Drosophila melanogaster: one gene and its partners. The gene in region 2 interacts genetically with the main gene of each other region. Each region holds a gene or a part of one and is shown on either strand. Other genes may lie near its edges. The genes, in order: ninaE, hppy, aru and RacGAP84C.

What was found.
Region 1: of hppy (region 2) and ninaE, changing one enhances a phenotype caused by changing the other (phenotypic enhancement), as found in Drosophila melanogaster (one study listed by BioGRID).
Region 3: of hppy (region 2) and aru, changing one suppresses a phenotype caused by changing the other (phenotypic suppression), as found in Drosophila melanogaster (one study listed by BioGRID).
Region 4: of hppy (region 2) and RacGAP84C, changing one enhances a phenotype caused by changing the other (phenotypic enhancement), as found in Drosophila melanogaster (one study listed by BioGRID).

Annotation. Positions count from the first base shown.
Region 1 is NT_033777.3:19,885,704-19,890,199, forward strand, and holds ninaE (neither inactivation nor afterpotential E), read right to left. Parts: upstream 2,504-4,496; 5' UTR 2,328-2,503; coding exon 2,320-2,327; intron 2,257-2,319; coding exon 1,696-2,256; intron 1,521-1,695; coding exon 1,373-1,520; intron 1,315-1,372; coding exon 1,037-1,314; intron 969-1,036; coding exon 842-968; 3' UTR 552-841; downstream 1-551. Other genes in the region: Ask1 (apoptotic signal-regulating kinase 1), read left to right, coding at 1-28. UniProt on the Drosophila melanogaster protein: Visual pigments are the light-absorbing molecules that mediate vision. They consist of an apoprotein, opsin, covalently linked to cis-retinal.
Region 2 is NT_033778.4:19,176,860-19,181,789, reverse strand, and holds the start of hppy (happyhour), read right to left. Parts: upstream 3,053-4,930; 5' UTR 2,918-3,052; intron 2,292-2,917; 5' UTR 2,058-2,291; coding exon 1,932-2,057; intron 1-1,931. Other genes in the region: CG10737 (uncharacterized protein), read right to left, coding at 4,801-4,849.
Region 3 is NT_033779.5:861,347-867,510, forward strand, and holds aru (arouser), read right to left. Parts: upstream 4,516-6,164; 5' UTR 4,481-4,515; intron 3,715-4,480; 5' UTR 3,563-3,714; coding exon 3,531-3,562; intron 3,449-3,530; coding exon 3,052-3,448; intron 2,993-3,051; coding exon 2,849-2,992; intron 2,789-2,848; coding exon 1,217-2,788; intron 1,153-1,216; coding exon 973-1,152; intron 913-972; coding exon 820-912; 3' UTR 503-819; downstream 1-502. Other genes in the region: CG13950 (uncharacterized protein), read left to right, coding at 1-11, 83-350.
Region 4 is NT_033777.3:7,284,286-7,288,136, reverse strand, and holds RacGAP84C (Rac GTPase activating protein at 84C), read right to left. Parts: upstream 2,176-3,851; 5' UTR 2,033-2,175; coding exon 1,713-2,032; intron 1,577-1,712; coding exon 769-1,576; coding exon of another isoform or gene 745-768; exon of another isoform or gene 686-744; intron 649-685; coding exon 622-648; 3' UTR 508-621; downstream 1-507.

The DNA of each region.
Region 1 (4,496 bases), on a different chromosome or scaffold from region 2:
AAGCGAGTACGATTCGTGCAGCGAGTGACTGGAGTTGAAAGCTTTCTGAGTTGTGCCTTTACAGATACTACTGATTAATTGTTAATGTTCTCCATGTGCTACTAACCGCTGCGAGGCTCAGCTCAATGAGTCTCCAGCAGCCCTGGGTTAAGTTCTCCCATGCTGACTCATGTCTTTTCAACTTTGAGTTCGAAAAGGCGTTGTCTGTGTGTCCAGTTTTAACGATTGCATGTTAACTTATAAAAATGGAATTTACATAAGTGCCTTTAATTTAAAAAAAAAAGAAAACAAAAACTGAAATAGATAATATATTGTGAAGTGCTTTGCAAAAAAGGGGTATTTCTTGTTAACTGGAAAGGATTTATAGCTTCTGAAGAAGACTATTATACATATAAGAATGAATAAACTCAAATTTGTTGTGGTTCTCCAAACTTTAAAGGCGAAAGATAACCGAAAGTTGATATCCGAACTTTTGTAGGTTCGTCATTAGGGTTTTTCCACGCTAAAAGCTGCTTTTGTTAGATATACTATGTTTTGAAAAGGCTCATTTTAATTTATAACTTTTCTAGTTCGTTTGCATTTATTTTTTTTGTTGAGTTTTTTTTTGTCCTTAACTGACATTGCAGGAAATTTAATAACTGAGTTTACATTGCTTTTTGTTATGTAAGAAAGTTGCATAATTTTTTCATTATTGTTGAAGTTTTTGATGTTATTCGAAAGCGTTTCGTTCTGTTGCTGCAGTTGTTCTTGCTGTTGTTTTTGTTGCTGTTGTTGTTGCTGTTGTAAGTAGTTAGATGTTCTTGTTGTTGTTGTTGCTGTTCTGGTTGTTGCGCCAAAGAATTTATGCCTTGGACTCGGCCTCGCTGGCGGTGGCCTGCGATTGGGCATCGCTCGATTTGCCATCGTCGACCTTGCCAAAGACGCAGCAAGGACACTTCTCCTTGAGGGCCAGGCGATATTTCGGATGGCTATACGGAATGAAAATAAAAAATTGGTTAAATATTAAGGTATATACGTTTCATAGCCCATAACCAACCTGATGCCGTATACAATTGGATTGTAGCAGGCGGCCGATTTGGCGAAGCAAGCTCCCCAAATGGTATTCAGTGGTGTAAGGCCCTCGAACTTGAACAGTCCCATGCAGTTGATGACCAGGTATGGTGTCCACGCCATGAACCACAGCGTGATGGTGACCAGAGCCACCTTGGCCAGCTTGCCCTCGGCGCTCTTCTCGGCATCCTCAGAGGAGCGGAGGGACTTGACATTCATCTTCTTGGCCTGCTCGCGCATGGCCTTCTCGTGGGCGGAGACAGCCTGTGGGAGGATATATCGGGTTAAGCGACTGGGATATGCGAGTCTCGTCGCCACTTACAGCAATGATGAACCAGTAAGAGTAGCAGATCAGGAACAGCGGAATATAGTACACGAAGATGGAGTAGAAGATCAGGTATGAGCGTGGGTTCCAGTCGCGTTCCAAGTAGTCAATACCGCACGAGGTCAGGTTACCCTCCGGCACATACCTTTTAGATTAAGAATATATATTTATAGGATAATGTTAGGTGGTAATAATATTAATACAATTGTAATTTGTAAACCTTTTGTTTGTAATTTAAGTTTTTAAACATTTGTATATAGTAGCTTTGATCATTTTTTAAAAAATGGGTTCCCAGAAGGTTTACCATTTCAAGGACTCACCTGCTCCAGCCGAAGGCGGGCGCCAGGCACCAAATGCTCGACATGAACCAGATGTAGGCAATCTTGCCCAGGGCCAGCGGAATGGTCATCGGCCGGCCGGCCATGCCCTTGACGATCACTTGGTAGCGATCCAGGGAGATCATGCACATGGACCAGATGGAGCTGCAGCCAAAGGCCGAGCCCAGTCCGGCGTATATGTCGCACATCATGGGTCCGAGCACCCAGGTCTCGAAATACAGATTTATGCCCATCATGGGCGTGTTTGTGATCATGATGCCAAAGTCGGAGATGGCCAGGTTGATGACCAGCAGGTTAGCGGGCGTGCGCAGTGATTTGGTGGTGGCGAATATGTAGATCACCACGCCATTTCCGCACCAGGAAATCATGCCGATCATGATCATGTAGGCGGTCAGGATCTTGGCCCAAATGGGGTCCATGGCGGGGAACTGGTTCCAGTACGGGCTGATCAGGTGGGCCATGTCGGGCGTGACCTTGTCCACCACCGATCCATTGGACAGGGGGGCAAAGTGTGGCCCCAGTTGCGCGGCTGCTACTGCAAAGCTGCAACACCGAAGCAAATGTTAAATTGCTAACCAGAACATCCAGTGGATCCACCGATCGTACCTCTCCATTGTGTTTTGGTTACTGGCTGCGTCACTATATCCCGCCTATATCACACTGTCTACATAAAAAGCTGCAAATTCACTAACAATATTTCTAACACTTTTTACATAAAGGGTTCCTGGATTCTGAATATTTCACTGGGGCGGACTAGTCGCGGCGATTGGTCGTTGGAAACCTGCAATGTCTGCATTCTGCCGCATGGCTTTTATAGTTTTCGCGGTGCTCGTGTAACCCCTGCTCTTGAAATTCAATTAGGCCAGCCTAAAAATATGTCTGCAATGTGCAGAGGAAAGTGTCGACAGCTTTTGGCTTATAATCATAATATCCATAACGAAAGCAAGCGCACATCGCAATGGGCCAATGTCAATAGTTAAAGGCATTTCAAGGGTTTCCACTGGGGGTTCTGGCCGAGTATTATTCTTGAGTCTCCAGATTGTGCAGAAAGCAATGGCGAAAGTCAGCGATTTAATGTGTCAATGCCTAGACAAATTTGAAGAATATTATGAAAACATATCGTAGCAGAAGAAATATCAGTATCGTTCGCCTGCGACACCAGTGCGTATGCGCAATCAAGTATACGCAGTGTGTGCGCCGATGAACGCACATCTTGAGGGCTCTGCTAATCTTGGATTATCTTAAAAAGAATGCCAGCTTTTGGAAGTAGTAAAATAATCTATTTAAATTAAGAATATGAACACCCCAGACGCTAAGCCGCTTATGGATTTTTTGTGCTGATTGATCTTTTCGCACCTCCATTGAATTTTCCGAACATGTTTTGTTTCTTTTCTTTTTGGTGTGGGCAGCTTGGATTTTATTTTGTCAGTCCAGCTTTGGCATAAAAGCCTTTTGTTCGCCTTTGTGCGATGGCTCAACACATCAGCTTGAATTGGGTCAAGTTTTAGGCTAATCCAAATGGCCAAATGGGATGCCACGCTTTGCGCCCAACCCAAATATGGAACTAAACCGAAATAACTGTCAGCTGGTGTGACAGTCGACACATGTCGGCAGATCTTTCGGTTTAAATCAATTACACACCGCAAAACAATACAAAAAAAGCGCAGGTAATAAATATTCATATAAAGTTAGCCAGCGCAAAAAACTAACAAAAATACCGAGGCGCAAAACCGGAAGCTGCGCTCATATCGCCATTATCATTACCATCAATTTGATCATCATGATCATTATATTGGCGTCATCGTTAGCCGCACTTGCGGTTCCCATACTTACGTATTTACCTACAGTTCTGTGTATGCATATATACAAATAATCTGGGTATAAACCATGAATCGCATTTCAATTTATTCGGCATTTTCGGGTTTCGCTAAACAACAAAAGTCCCCCGCCCACCTGCTAGATGGCCCAAACATAAAAGCCAAGTAACGAAATGGGTATAGCAACAACAGAGACATATGGACAAGCCAACTTGCAACAAACATTGCGATGTGAAGTGGAAGAAGGCCGCCGAAGGCGGGGAAGAAGACGATCATTTAGCATTAGCAAATAAGCGAGATAAACGCTGCGATCCGTAGACGTTGTTATTGTTGGGGAATTTGTTGTTTTCCTGCTCAATGAGGCGGGCAAATTTGAAACTAGAGAGGCAGAACCAAACTTACCCGGCACTTTGAATGCCCTTCTCTGTAATATTTAATACGACAATAATACATTTATGTTGATCGTGTATTGATAACGATAAAGATTTGAGTTCGGGGTGTATGTACCTGAAAGTATGCTCTGTATATTTCACGAATTTAATAAGTAAGTAAAGTATAAGTAAGTATAATATAATATGCTTATAATATAATATTATTATTATATTCAAATAATAGCGTTTTATTATAATACCTGGTATTTACGTGACATGTCCAAACTTCTCAAACGAACCGTGACACCCTGGCTCCAGGGCACAGTGTATAATTAACAAACACCTATGATTTGATTTTTGTATTTTTATGTTCGACAATGGATTCGCGCTCGCCAGTGTGAGTGACGCGTGTGTGAGTGTGCGTGTGAGTGGGTAAACGGCGGCAAGTGTTCTGCCGACGTCGCTGCCGCTGCGCCGTCGTGTGGGGGTAGGTGAGAGCGCAGAGAGAGAGAGCGAGAGGATGATGGAGCGGCTGCTCAAAGAACGCCAAAGTAATGGATCTTTTCGGGCGCCGCTCTCCTACTCTCTCACTGCT
Region 2 (4,930 bases):
CCTTTCTAGATGTGTGGCATCATAAATTCCCTTGACAACCAAATACCTCGGTGTGAAAATAAATAAAAAAAAAACCGAAGTAAAAAGCAGGGGGAACGAAAGAGTGTAAATTGCATGGTGGATTGAAACCGAAACCATGGGCTTTGGACTCATGGCATGACGCATCTCATGGATGGAACATGGAGAAAAGATACAGAAAGCAGAACGGAACGGGCTCTAAAAAACAAAAACGAGACACAATCAGATGGCAAAATGAGTAGAGGGCCACAAAACCAGATGTGGGCAAACATAAATAAATAAATAAATAACACATTCGAAACTAATCCGAATAATCAATGCAAGCGCGTGGCTGCTTATCGAATAAATTGAAGTGAGGCAAAATGAATCAAGTCCCAATATCAGTCTGATGAGCAAGAATAAGCATAATCTCAACAGTCTTACGCTTTGATGACTAATAATGATTGCCTGAGTTTACAGAAAAACAAGACTTTAGTCAACATAAAACGTTATTAACAAAAGCCAACCAAAAAACTGCACATATTGTTTAAAACCTAAGCATTCAAATTAAGCGAGTCAAAAACCATTCAAATGTCGTGCAGAATTGTGGTGCACATTATAGACATATTGATTTCATTGTGCGCTGTCAAACCAAGTTATCAATATGCCAAAGCAAATTAATTAACAATTCTCTCATTTTCTACAAATTAAAATCTATAAATTACGATATACTTAATATCGAATTTCAAAAGTGCACAAACTAATTGAATTCCCATCTTTTATGAGCAATGTGAAATTTAATCAATTTCAATTTCGTCAAAATTAATCGAATGGAAAACGTTCGAAAAGCTGATGATTTATAGATTTTGGGTTGCCAACTAGAATGCAATAAATCGAATTGGGGAAATCCCTCGAATTCAAAGGCATTCCATATGGAAAATGAGGAACTTAACCCTTGGTCTGCACATGAGAAATACCATAATATCTCCCCCGATATATTCCCATATAATCCCGCCCCTGGCAACAACAATTGCAACGTGCCACGCCCCCCCGCCCAAGGGCAACTTCTCTGGCGTTTCGGGGCATTTGTCATACTTCCCTTCGACGGGCAGCAAGAGTAAACATGGAAGTTGGATGGTATAAAAAGAACGATCCAACAGAGAAGAAGATGGAAAACTAAAATTGCGCATATTTTTGTTTGTGGCGGGGCGAGGGGTTTGGGGGAAGGGGGTGCTGAAAGGGATGTGGAGTGAAGGGGGGGTGGGGGTAGTGAAGGAATGAGAAACATGCTGTGGCAAACAGATGTACAAATGAGGGTCTGCAAGTGGGTGGCGGTGGGGAGATCGAGGGGGTACATGCACTCTTGCACTGGAGCAAAAAAACATTCCTCCTTTATGATTTAATGCGTTCTACATTTTAACGCACATACAATTTTATTATTTATGTGGCGTGGTGAGCAATAATGATACTCCACATTGAGATATGTAACTAAATTCATTTTCTATAAATGCATAACGGACTAGAACTAGTTTTACCATATGGAACACATTCAACTTTAAAATTTATTCTTGATTATGTGTCCAAAAATTATCCAATAAGAACATTATTCCTAGGTTTTGCAATCCAATGAGGCAATAGTGTTACATAATGTGTGATGTCTCTTTATTGAACAGAAAACTTCCTGATACAATTCAAAGTGAATTAATCGAATTTGAGAACTGTTGGATAATTTTTTCCTGTGCAGACGGAATGCAAAAATTGCAGTGAGGGAAACTATAAAAACTTACGGATTTTTGGGGAAACATTCTAAATCCAAAGAGCACACTTTGCAATTTCTTTGCCTTTTGTTTGCTGTTGTTTTTATTTAGAAGTTTTTGCCTTTCCCTTCCTAATACCACTTTGTACTACAGCTAAAGGCTTCTATTTCGACTCACCTTATAGACGTCGCCGTAGGTTCCCGAGCCAATCTTTTGGATGAGTTCGTACTCGTCCTGCGGATTTCGGCGAGAGATGTCCGAGCTGAGCATATTGGCATTGTGGTGACTGTGGGCGGCGGCCATCTTGGCAGCTTCCGTATCCGTATGCCGTTGCCGTTTCCGCTTCCGCTTCCGCTTTCGGTTCGAGGCGATCGAGTCCTTTTGGCTGGACCTCTCTTTACTGGGTGGGTATACTCTTAATATTTGATTGACACTCTTACTCTTGACGCTGCTTTATTCGTTTTTTGGGTTTGACTGATTAGCACACGTAGCAGGCGAAATTTAGATACTTTTGTGGATCGAGATGCATTTTGGACGCTTTGAAATACACACAATTACGTAAGGTTAACTGGACTTTTGTATATTATGTATTAAACATATACATTTATTTCATATGAATCAGATTCTGATCAGAGAATTGAATTGATACACACACGAAACTAGAGAATCGCGAATTATGACGCAGAATAAAAAAAAAAGCGATGAAAACAAAAATCAGCAAATAAAGCAGCAACAACAAATTTGATAAAGGCCAGGGTGGAGAAGAAGGTGGAGAAAGCGCGGGGGTGGGAGCGAGAGGGCAAGTGAACGATGTCTCGTTTTTTGTAATCCCCTCTCTCGTTCGCGCTCTCTCTCTTCCACTGCATATATTCTTTATCTTCTCGTCTCCTCTTCCTTGCTTCTCAATGCATTTGCACTTTAATTACTTTTTATTAGAATTTATGAAGGCCACTTTTGTTTTTGCCAGCGAAATTGCCTAAATAAATAAATAGTTGCTGTGCTGCCGAGTAAAAAAACACGCGACAACAAAAACAACAACGCGAGGCGTGTCGCTTTGTCGCCCGTTCGTGGTGTTGTTGTTGCTGGTGTAAATACTACGTTTATTATTTTTTTTTTATAATTTTATTCCGATTTTCGCTAAGCGCTAGGTGAGCACCACAAACCGTTCACATATTACACCGACACGTGATTGCGGGGCAAATTCGGCCAGTGGATAATTAACAATTGTCCTACGAACACGAAAAATTTCACATGCACTTCGTCAACGCGCAGCCCACAAATGTTGTTGTTCCTCTCACCCCTCGCTAGCGATGGCACTCTGCCCGCGGGCCTATCGATAGCAGCGCTGGTCGTTCGGCGGTGGCAACTCTGTCGGGCTGTCGTTTCGAAGATATCGATATTAGTTGGCCAGAAGGGGTGGCCAGACAGGGGAAATTTTTAAACTGCTGAAGGACATTCGAAATTCAATAAAATGAATCATTGAATCCACATGAAAGTACATTTAGTAGCAGCGTTAAAGGAATACATTAGTTAAAGCTCTCAAATCTACTTCAATGTTTCTTTAGTTATTAATTAGAATGTCATACAAATGATTTGTCACTGTATTGCCAATCAGCAATGTTTTATAGGAACTTCCCCTTAATCTTTCCTACGTTACTAAGACCTAAATCAGCCACAAACTGGGAAAACTCCTTTGTGCAGACCGCCGTTCCCAACAACAACAATTGGATCCTAAACTCGAAACAAGTGAAATGTTTAATATCTACACGCAAACTACTGCCAACTGCTTTCCGAAAAATATCCGGTATTATTAGTGATCACAACTTTATTGATTCACCGAATTTGTTGTTTAATTTAAAAAAAAAACCCTAATTCACTTTTATTTTGTACAATTATTATTCGTGTTTGTAGAAAATACAAAATATCAAAGGGCTCGAGCACGTTGACACGGAGAAATGGGTTAAAAACGAATCCAAAGAACTTATTGCACATGTGTGTGTTCGCGTGAGTGTATAAATAAATAACGTAAAATGTATCGAGATGTTCCATAGCAGAAGAAGATGGTTAGCACAGCTCCTTCCTTCACTTCTATGTAACTAGGGTATTATTTCGATTAAGGTTTCTCGGCTTGGGGCTGTCTGGCTTGGATTCCAGGGTATTCCCCATATTCACAGCTTCCGTATGCTGCGATCTGCCGCCGCTGAATTGAGTTTAGTTCTGTGAAAATAAGAGAAAAACGAACGTTAGATATATCTAGACAAGTGCAATATCAATGGTTAACAATTGGAAAACAAGCTTCAAACAGTATTAGGCCGAATCTGAACGAATTAACTGAACAATCCTCAGAAGGAATTGCATTAGTATGGATCGCAGTGCGATCAAAACCGAACGAGAGTGTTAATTTAGTACACAACACAGTGGAGCAGAACGAGGAATTTCATGCGAATGCGTTGCCAGCTTACCCCGATTTTCCAGCTGCCAAAGGGTCAACTGGAAAATGCGCGAACCACACAAAACTGCAGCAGAACGGATCTAGAACCCTGGAGTTTTTTCTATTTTTTGTTTGGTCAAATCGAAGGAGGATTGTGTAGGTTCTTTTTTAACTATATATATGTATATATATGGCGTCAGAATGAACTCGCACATCGCTTGGATAGCACTTAAGAATGGTATTTAACTGGCTTTAAAGATGCTGTGCTGTGGCTGAGACCTTTCTACTCCTCACTGGCCATCCTGTGTCCGTGTGGGTGGTTTGGTTGTATTTCGTGTGAGGGATGCGATGAGAAAAAGAGCTCGAATTAGTGCCCAGAAGTTATATTACACATAATGAAACAGCGTGGCCAAGCGAGGTGACAGTGCGATTGGGTATGGGAGGATGCTAGCGGAAGCCGGAAAACGAAGCCGAATTTTCCATTTCTGACGCCAATTCAGTGGAGTGAGTAAATCAAAAATTGCTCTTGGTAAATATCAAACTGCATTTGGCGGATTCAAGTTGTTTACAAAAGAATAAGTATTCAGATAGTTGGATTGGTCACAAAATAAGGATTTAGTTAACTAGGTTTATATCTCTCTCTGTGAGTACCGGAAATGACGTTCTGTTTTATTTATTTTTTGTTTCATTGGGTGGGTGTGCGTATTCGTGTGTTGTGTTGTGTGTGTGTGTGGAAAGAGAAAAA
Region 3 (6,164 bases), on a different chromosome or scaffold from region 2:
GAAGACAACAGGTATAAAGGAGTCCGAGACTCCAATATGCAAAGTTCCTCCAAGAGAATTCACCTTTACTCACTTATTCTAGTTTTGCCTTGAGCGACGAGGAGACCGAGGGCGAATTCCCATTTGTGCGCGGAAAGCTCTTCAAGATCGCTTTTGGGCTCGGGGATCGGGCTTTCCTGATCGCCGTCAACGGGCAGTACTTCACCTACTACAACTTTCCCGGACGCCCCTTCTCCATATCCACTCTGAAGTGCTTCACCAACGAAGTGGGCGACTTCGCCGTGCGGAGCCTGGAGTACCACTCCGATTCTCCGCTTCTGGCCCGCGTGGAGAAGTTGTCCATCATTTAATCGATTCGAGTTCTCGTAGTATGCTCTTTGTTCAATCGTTGGCTTTGATCACCGTACAGCACCAGTTAACTTCTTCTTGTGAGCATCCAAATAAAGCAAAGCAGCTCTCCAAACTACAATCTCCTCAATAATCATCAACCAATAGGCAGGTTCCTTTGGATATAATTTTATTAAAACAAATTATTGCCGTCGCCTCCCCTTTTCGCCTGGATGAGCATCAGCTTAAGCATCCGCCTCAGCAGGAGCCACGTGCTGCTCAACAGCTCCCGTCTGGAGCTCCACTTAGGTTAGTCTTAAGGTTAGTTCTGGTTTGCACACTCCTGCGAGCGAGTGCAAGGTATTGGAGCCAATCCGATCGCTAGTGACCAGGACTAGCATCCTAGACGGAACTGCTGATGTCTGTCTCTCTATAACGCTAGATCCTCACTACGGAATATGTGTATATGTATATGGTGATCGCATCTCGATCCTAGAAGTAGCGGAACTCGCCCTTCTTGCCCAGATGCTTGCTGCGCATCATGTCGGTGGGATCCGGCGATCGCTGTTCCATGCCGGGATTATCCTGGGTAATGTAGAGCGGTTAGCAAGTCCCATCATGAATTGAGTGACCAGCCTTACTCACCCCTGATCGCGATTTGTTGCCCGGACCTGTGGGACCCGTCGGTGGCTGCTGCTGTTGCCCGTAGAACTGGGCTCCATCTCCATCCCCGAAATTGAAGGGGGTTACAATCGTGTGCGGCACGTGGGCCACCTGACCCCGCATGTTGCGCGCCTTCCACCACTTTCGGGTATCATCAAGGATCTAAAGTTTCGAAGAGATGGTTATAGGACAGAACGAAGGATGGTAACGTGGGTGCTGGCCTTACCTCCAAGTATTCGCCTCGCATCACGCTAAGCTCCTTGTCGTTGTTGGCGGTTCGCGGATAGGTGACCAGCACAATCTTAGCGCCCGTCGCCTGCAGATCCTCCAGCCAGGACTCGAGCATCTGGTCGTCGCTGACATTCGGCAGGCCTCTGCCTCCACCGCCCAACTCCGACGAAGGCCCCGGACCAGCTCCTGCTCCGTACCCGTTTCCACTGCGAGATTCCCTCGTATGCAGATTCTGCAGACCAGCTGTGATGGCGCTAAGGGTTGGTCCAGCTCCTGGTCCGTGGCCATGACCATGGCCATGTCCCGCTGCTCCGCCGCCCCTGCCTTCGATCGAGTCGAACGACAGCTCGCTGCGGGCGTTAAAGTCAGACGCACTGATTGCGCCCGCCCGCTCTCTGTCGCGCTCCCTTTCCCGCTCCCTTAAACCGTCGTTGCCGTGGTGGATGGTGTACTTCTCGATACCCATGGCCATGTTCATCCCGTTCCCCGAGTCGTAGTCATCGTATCCGCCTCCCCCACGACCATTTAGTCCGGATCCAGCCTGGACCTCGAGTCTGCGCTTGCTCACATGAGCGGGCGGGGAATTTGGTGGTGGCTCCAGTTCATCGTTGATCAAATAGTCCGGTGACCAGCCATCGAGGAAGACCGGATGGTAGGATCCAACGTCATCCTTCCACTGATCTCGCGGGATCACCCAGGCATCGCCCAACGAGCGCCACAGCTCCGTTTCCTTGCTGGTTACACAGTTGATGAGCAGGTTGATGGCCTCTCTGGTCAGCAGGGGATTAACCACACGGGCCGGTAGCTGTGACTCGTAGTACGTGTCGCTGGAGGCCTCCACAATCAGAGCCAGCGGCGTGAAGAGGAAATGCACCAGTTCGGGAGCGTTGGGATCGTGGATGTGCGCCTTCAACTTTGCCAGCAGGTTAAATGACAGCTTAAACTTGGCAAAGATGTCCACGAACTCCTTCTCGTGGGGAGGCCGTGTCCTCAAAGTGAGCAATCCCTCCCCCGGATCCCTTTTCTTCGACTTCCGATTGCGACGACGGCGCTCGAGCTCCCGGGAAGCGGCGGCGGCGTGCTGAAGACGAGCTATGAACTTCTCGATGTCATCGAAACAGTGATTCAGCACAGCCACATCCCGCTCGTACTTCTCGCTGGACGTGGAGCTAGTCTCATCGCGCTCCGTTGCGCCACCGCCCCCAATCCCACCGTGTTCCGAATCCGTCTCGCCACTAATGTGGGCAACGTCATCGCCAGAAACTCCTACTCCGGCACGGATTCCATACTGTTCCATGCTGCTCCTTTGGTGCATGTGATGGTGGCTTTCGCGCTCACGGTCTCGATCACGCTCCCTCTCGCGCTCTGCCCGCTGCTCCCTGTGCTGGTGCAGCTCCACTCTACTATGCGACGAGGACGAGGAGGTTTTGCTCATCATCATGGCCATGCTGGAGGCTCCTCCGCCTCCTGATTGAGTGGGTGTGGCACCGCGCTGCTGCGTTATCATCTTGCCGCTTCTCAGCTGCTTCAGATCCTCAACCAGGTGAACGGCGGACACACTTTGTGACTGCAGGGATAAATCATTTGAATGAAACTGTCATGAGACAGAAGCCTCACTAATTCTCACCTGGAATATGTGCATCTCGGAGCGAGAACCACCGCCTCCGGATACGATAAAGACCAGAATGTTGTTGTATAGCTCCATGGCGTCATTCGAGGTGAATGCGGTGGGCTCCTGAACCAAGGAGGCGGGGAATCTTTCGATTATGTTCTGTAAGGCAAGGATGAAGATGAGTTCCATAAGGATCTTTCCCAGTTTGTGAAACGTACCCCTGTTTCATAGTCCATAATTAGCACCCACTGATAGTCCAGGCAGAGCTGCATCTTCTGCGACCAAATACCCGTGGTCTTCTCCAGCTGAAGGAGGCGACGCATTCCGTCCGCCGGATACACAATGCCGGACTCCTTGTTGACCGTGAAGGTGGCCAGGTGTTCCAGCAGGTAGGTGGGCTTGTCGTGCAAGTCACTCTCCAGACGCTCCCGCTCCTCGCCGCCTCCGCTGCGATCGTCTCCGGAATAGTCTCCTCCTCCGCCGCCGCCTCCATGGGCACCGCCTCCTCTTAGGCTTCCGCTACTGTTTCCAGCACTGCCGCCTCCGTTCGAGTGGTGGTTCACCATGGTGTCTCCCAATCCCGGTACAGGCTTCGATCGACGTCTGAAGCTCCGTCTAAAAATAAAATTTTTTCACATCATCATCATCGTCAACAATTTTGTATATCGGTCTTTGATTCGTTTAAAATATAAGTTACCGTTTAAATGATGAACTTAGTAGCTTAAACATTGATTAAAAGTTTTGATCGTTACCAACTTATACTTTTGCTTCTTAGGTCGAGTTGAACTATCGTCATTTGAAAATAATATTTAGAATTATGTGTATGCTTTTAATAATCCCATTTAATCGCTTATTCCAATGACTAAAACATTATATCGTGACTGCTGTCGAAAAACATGTTTAACTTGATTAGAATAGTATTCCCAAAACTAAATTTCCTATTGGCAGGGGTGTGGTTAAGCCCCTTGGAAGTCTGGTTCCCAATTTGGTCTCTCAAGACCTTAAAGCCTCCGCTGACCGAGTCTTCGAGCTGAAATCTTATGAGTGTCGAATACGAAAATTGGTCCTAAAGTATGTGTTAGATCATTATGCTGTGTTTATTTTGTGCAGCTGAGACTAAGTCCCTCTGCATCCGAAGGCCCCTAATCCCGCCAAGCCACTTGGATATTGCGCAGCCAATCGTCTCTGACTCAGACCGCATTCCGATTCCAAGCCTCCACTAGCGTTGGCATACACACTCCAAGCGATCCGCACATGGCCGCAATTATTCTCAAACTTTAACATTTCGTTGTTGGCTTGGATCAGCATTGGAATTCAAAAATCGCGCTACTTCCACTTCCCCAGGTTCTCCTCTAAGCTCGGTGTCTCCACTTTGACTACACAGAGAATATCTTTGGATAGTTTACTTCCGATTATATTCATCTTATTTGTATTAACAGCAGCAAATTGTATTGCATTGTAGATGTAATAGAGAGTAATTGTAGAGTAATAGCTCTTATCTTCAAAAATTAGGCCAACTATGGTTCTATGTCACAGTAACATTCTTTTCAACACTCGGATAAATCTCTCTTATTTTTTCTGTGTAGCCAGTGAACACACCTGCAAAAGACACACACACACACGTAAAACTGAGATTTGCAAACACACTTTCTCGCTCCCTCTCGCTCTAACCCTCGCAGACTCTATCCAAACCGCTCCCTCGACTCAAGTGACAGCAACAACTTTTCCGCTGTTTTAGGCTGGGCTCAGACGCCGACTGCGACGCGGGCAGCGGTGTCGCATACCTATCTACACTAAGCAAAAATCGCTACTGTTTTTATAAAGATATTGAAAATCATTATAATAATCCTATGGCGAGAAAGTCTCTAGAATGTAGTTCTAACCATTTTTAAATGTTAACAACATTTTCCATGATAGAAACACCCCCAAGTTTGTCGATTGTTTTCAGTGTATCAATCCAGCAGTGTCGCAGGGTCAATGGACAGGGGAAAGGGGGTGTTGGGTGCTTGTGTACTTGCAAACAGGTGAAAGAGAAACTGCAGAGGGGGTCAGCTGGAGGCACTATCTGCTTACGATCTTGTACAAGCCAAAATCGCAGTAAACAAACAAGCGAAGTGCACGTAAAAAAGAAAACACTGACCCACTACACCCCTGGAAATGTTTTGTTTTCGTTAAGTTGCGCCGCTGTGTTATATTTCAGCGTTTTACTGTTCGTACAAGCCCCAAATTGCATCACACTTGTGGAATTTGACAGATTTGTGTTTTCGCTCCTAACTCTACAGCAGCTTAGAGGCCAATGACGAAACGCGATAAACATTATCGCACTTGGGTAACATGGAAATAGTTGGGCTTGCATAAATCATGCTTTAGAGAAAGTACTAAAGCTGCTGGGTGATTTGAAGTTAAGTTAAGTCATCATAAACATCTACAAAAACATTATGCTAAATGAAATACATATATGTTTATAATATAAGTATTACTACTTTTGTACTTCTATAATCTTGAAATATTTGCAATCCACACATATGTATCTATGCATCTGTAAATAGGGGAAAATTATAAGCCTCGGTAAGGCAATCTAAGATACATAACTGCACTGGTATCTAAGAACTCCCCGACAAGAACCATAAACCTGGAGACATGCCCCAAGCATAGCTTCCATTCAGGTGAAGATAATTAATTGGGTCCTGATAAGCGTGAGATGGGGTGTTAGAGCCTCAAATAATTCAGACAGCTGGGATTTAGATAAAACGGCGGCGTGCGGTACACTTGCTTTTTTATTTTATCTCGCATACTTTTTGGTTTACGAAGCAAATGGCAAAACAACAAATGACAATAGTTGTTTTTGCTGTTCTTTGGGTGGAAACCCGCTCGTTAGATGGTGGTGGGCTGGAGGGGGGTGGAGAGACATCGACACCCCGATCCACACTATTGTCGTCCCCCTCGCGCGCATGCGTGGCAGATAAGCTGACGTCTTTGCTTGCGCTGGTGTGTGCGGCTTGAAAAGGTATTTGTCTCCGTGTCTCGAGCCCCCCGGCACCCGCCACCCCCTCGCCTGTTGCTGCAACTTTAGTTTTTGACCGACCGCATTTTTTAAGCTTTCTTTTCCACCTGTTTTCCGTTTTCCTCTCTCACTGTGCGCTGTTTATATTCCACGAGCCTCTCTCAGACACACACACACACGTCGCCTATAAGCCGCACTCACACAGGTGAGGCTTCACAGTAATGTGCGAGCGCGGATATACAGTGGACCCTCAAATAAGTAATCTAATTGAAAATAACATCCTTGAAGCTCTTTAGGCAATTATTTAAATTAATAATCTAACCAATT
Region 4 (3,851 bases), on a different chromosome or scaffold from region 2:
CTTTGCTTGTTTTTTGCATTTAATGGCCGCACTTTTTTGCACGGCACTCTCCAAATTGTTTTTAAAATGCTAACTTTTTTCTTGGCGCTTTAACTTATTTATATGTGTTCGCGGCAAAATATTTTACTTTGTGCTTTGGTTTACGCTTCAAAGAAACATAAATATGGGAAATGGAAATTATTAATTTTTTACATGTTTTCAACGGTTGGGAATTAATCAACGTTCGGCGAAAAAAATTGCAAATTCAATTAAAAATGTTTATTAATGTTTCAATACTCGAAATATATAGTTTTGCGATAACGTCGCTCTGGGCCATGCTAGATTATTTATGTGGTGCGAATAAGATTTTGGCCTGGCTTTATATTTAATTAGCCGAATTTCATATATGGAAATAATGGGTGTTTTCTGAGAGTATCTTTTGGTGATTCAATAAATCAAGTATTGCACTTGAGATGTCAAGTACTCTTGTTAGCCGCATATAATTCAACAACACATACACAACATGTTAGAGATCCAATTATTATTAGTTCTTCAACTGTAGTGAATAATGAAAAAAAATACAAAATAAAATAAAAAAGGGTGACTGCATCCATTCTCGATGTCTCAGTCATAAGACTTTCACTATAGGTGAGTACTGCTAAGGTTGACCTGAAACAGGAAGTATTCAGTGAAAGATTTGTATGATATGTTTGATTGCTTGTATTGAGTTTGGCTTATTCGAATATGAAATTCTATCCAAATCCGTTAAAGGGAAACCATAGGTCTTACCATTGATCTAAAGTAGGTCTTAACAGAAGACCATCCCAGATTGGACGAGCTGTCCCAGTGACGGTGATTGTACCGGTCCTCAAAGTCATAGGTGCTGCCCAACGAAGTGGGAAGGGGATGGACCTCCAAGAACTGAGACCAAAATCCGGCAGGCATCAGAAGTAGCACCTTCAGCACCCGCTGCCAAGTGACGACATTTTCGAGGGTTAGATCCAGATCTCCGAACAGAGTTGGAGCGAAGATCACGGCAAGATTGTTGACCGTCATGCGGACAGCAGGACTTTCGGCAATTTTCTGCCAGTGAAGCATTAAGTAGGCCAACGTATCCCTGTGAGCCTGATGCAGCTCCAGAACCGCTAAATATACCGCCATCTCCACAGCCAGACGATCTTCGTGCCGCGTGGCCTCCTCGAAATCCCTTCGGTGGTAAATGGGAATCAGAGGGTGAACCAACTGCCGAAGAAAGTCCTTAACACAACAGCACAGTGTGTGGGTGTCTTTATTGCCCAAATGCGGCGTGGACTTGCCACGCAGCAGCTTCCGACGCAGTCGTTTGCATTTCTCTCGGGTGGAGGACACCCGGTAGAGTCCCTCCTGCTGCAATCCCCGCGCCTCGATCTCCGTTACACAATGGACAATTAAGGCCGGCACCATGGGCGCCACCCGAGGCGCATAATCGCTGAGACATCCTCTCTTCGTACCGATTTGAGGCTGGGGGATGCAGTTCACCGTCAGCTGGCGGCAGCAACCGATGTGGCAGCGGAGCGGACACGCCCGACACCTCAGGCTGGCCATGGCGAAGCGGATCCTGGAAGAAGACCAGGGACACGCGGTTAGGGAGGTAAATGCTGGTCAGAGAGGGTTGGGATGTTATTTAACTTTTCATGTTTTCCCTGAATTCGAAATCCTCTCAGAAGTTCCACCATTCGGTGATTGCAACTCACCTTTTGCGGCAGTGTACGCAGTTCCCCACGTTGTAGTAGTAGGACTTAATCTTGAAATTGTGCTCCCTCAGCAGCCCCGAGTGGGACTGCGAGCAGAAGTCGAGTCCGTCCGTGGATAAGCCATCGCAGCCACTGGGATTCATGTCCACGCGATCCTGCAGCGAGTCCAGGGACTGCGATCCAAACATGCGGTAGTGCTCGCTGAGGTCATCGTAGGACCTGTACTCCCGCAGAAGCCTCCGTTTGTTCTGCATCGTGGGGCGAACGGGCGACAAATAAAGTCGATTTGAGGGCGTCCGACTCCCAGAGCCACTAATCATAAAGTTGGCGAATTGATTCAGCTGTTCTGGTCAGTTGGCAATTTCCGAAGAGAGGCCACTTCGGCTTGAGTCAGCTACGCAGAAGTTATCGGCTCGCTTCTCCGAATACTCGACCGAAATGTTTATTTACTCTTACGGTTTATTTGGAATCGGGTGAAAGCTGATAGCTTAAATAGTTCTGGCAGCACAAAAATTCGATCACCCATAGAGAGTGCCTACTGTGGGTCGTACATTTGTAAATATTTCTGGATAATTCATACACACATCTAGGGTGCTCCGCAGAAATTTAATGGGCGACTAAGGTGTTACTAAGAAATATCAAAAATGCTGTTTTCAATACAAAAAAAAAGTGAATCAAATTATTATAAACATTTTTTGTGCCTAACAATAACAGATATTTGCCCTGTCTTCTTCATATAAACAAGTCAGTGGTGATCTTTTTATATTTTCGATTCAATTAAATCGTTAAAGACAATCAATCACACCGAGATTCAATGTCACGATACAAAAGCTAAAAATCCCTAAAAACAAAAAGAATGTAGAAAATCGAACTAAAAAAACAATTTGCTAAAGTATCTATGAATTCTAAGCGCCCAGAAAATGGCTCAATGGCGCCGCTAAATGGATGAAAAATTCATGGAAAACCGTTTTGCGGCCACCAGACATAGAATGCAACCAGCAAAAATGTAGCACGAAAAAATGCTGCAGTTCATGTGAGGCCGGAACGTCAGAAAGCGAAAATGTTGAGTAAACGTGCTGCTAAAAAAACACAAAAATTAGAATTTAAAGGGACTTCGAGCTTGGAACTTTTGTGGAAAACGAAACATGGATCTGTCTGTTGATTTAATGGCATCATTGGCATTGATTTTTATGCGATTTTAAAGTTTGGATAGAGTAAAAACAAAATTATCATGGCACTTTTCAGTTTTGGGCTGTGAATTGAAGAGCAGCGCCAGCAAAATTAACGAGCAAGGCGGGGAATTGGATTTTTATGCTTTTTTGTAGTCGTTTTTTAGGCGTCAGCTGCATTGACGCCGGTGTGCCTATGTGTGCGTGAGCATTTGAGGGTGTGGGTTTAGGTGTGTGTGAGCTTTGGGCTGAAATACTAAGGATGGTTGCCACTGCCACATTGAATTCGTAGTTATTAATGCGTATTGAAATGCACACATTGCAGTGAGTGAGAGTGTCTCTCTCTGTGATTATGCGGCGTGTGTGTGGGCGTAGTATTCATAATTGCACTTGTGTGGGCTTCTATCTGTGTCCGACTGTTTTGTTTGTATTCAAAGTCCACAAATACGAGTCACGCATCGCAATAAGCCCATGCAATCCCCTGCCTCACTCCTCACTCCACTTTTCCCAAAATGCTTTTTTGTACTTTTTCTGATTCGCCTCTGACTGTGTGTGTTCAAATACGTGTGTGGCCCTATGTGTGTGTCTGTCCGTTGCGTATTCCAAAAAGCAAAAAAAAAAAGTACAGAAACACAACAAAACAGCATAAAAAATGTTTGGACATCCACAAAACATACAAAAAAGAGGGGAGTTCTGGGCAAAAACGAGTGGGAAAAAATGGCATCAAAGCACGTTGACAGTGTTGCCACGTGGTGATAATTAATTTTTCACACACAAAAGTTGATCAAAATGTTTTTATCCGGTGCCTCCAAAATTTAAGGAATTATTTGGTTGCATCGAGCTCAAAATATTTCAACTTTAAAGCTTCTTAACAGAATGAAAAAGTTTAACGCAATTGTTATAGATTCAGGATGTTGCTTAAAAACATCTTAGCACATGGTTTTCTGTACTAAAACCATGAAATCAGCAA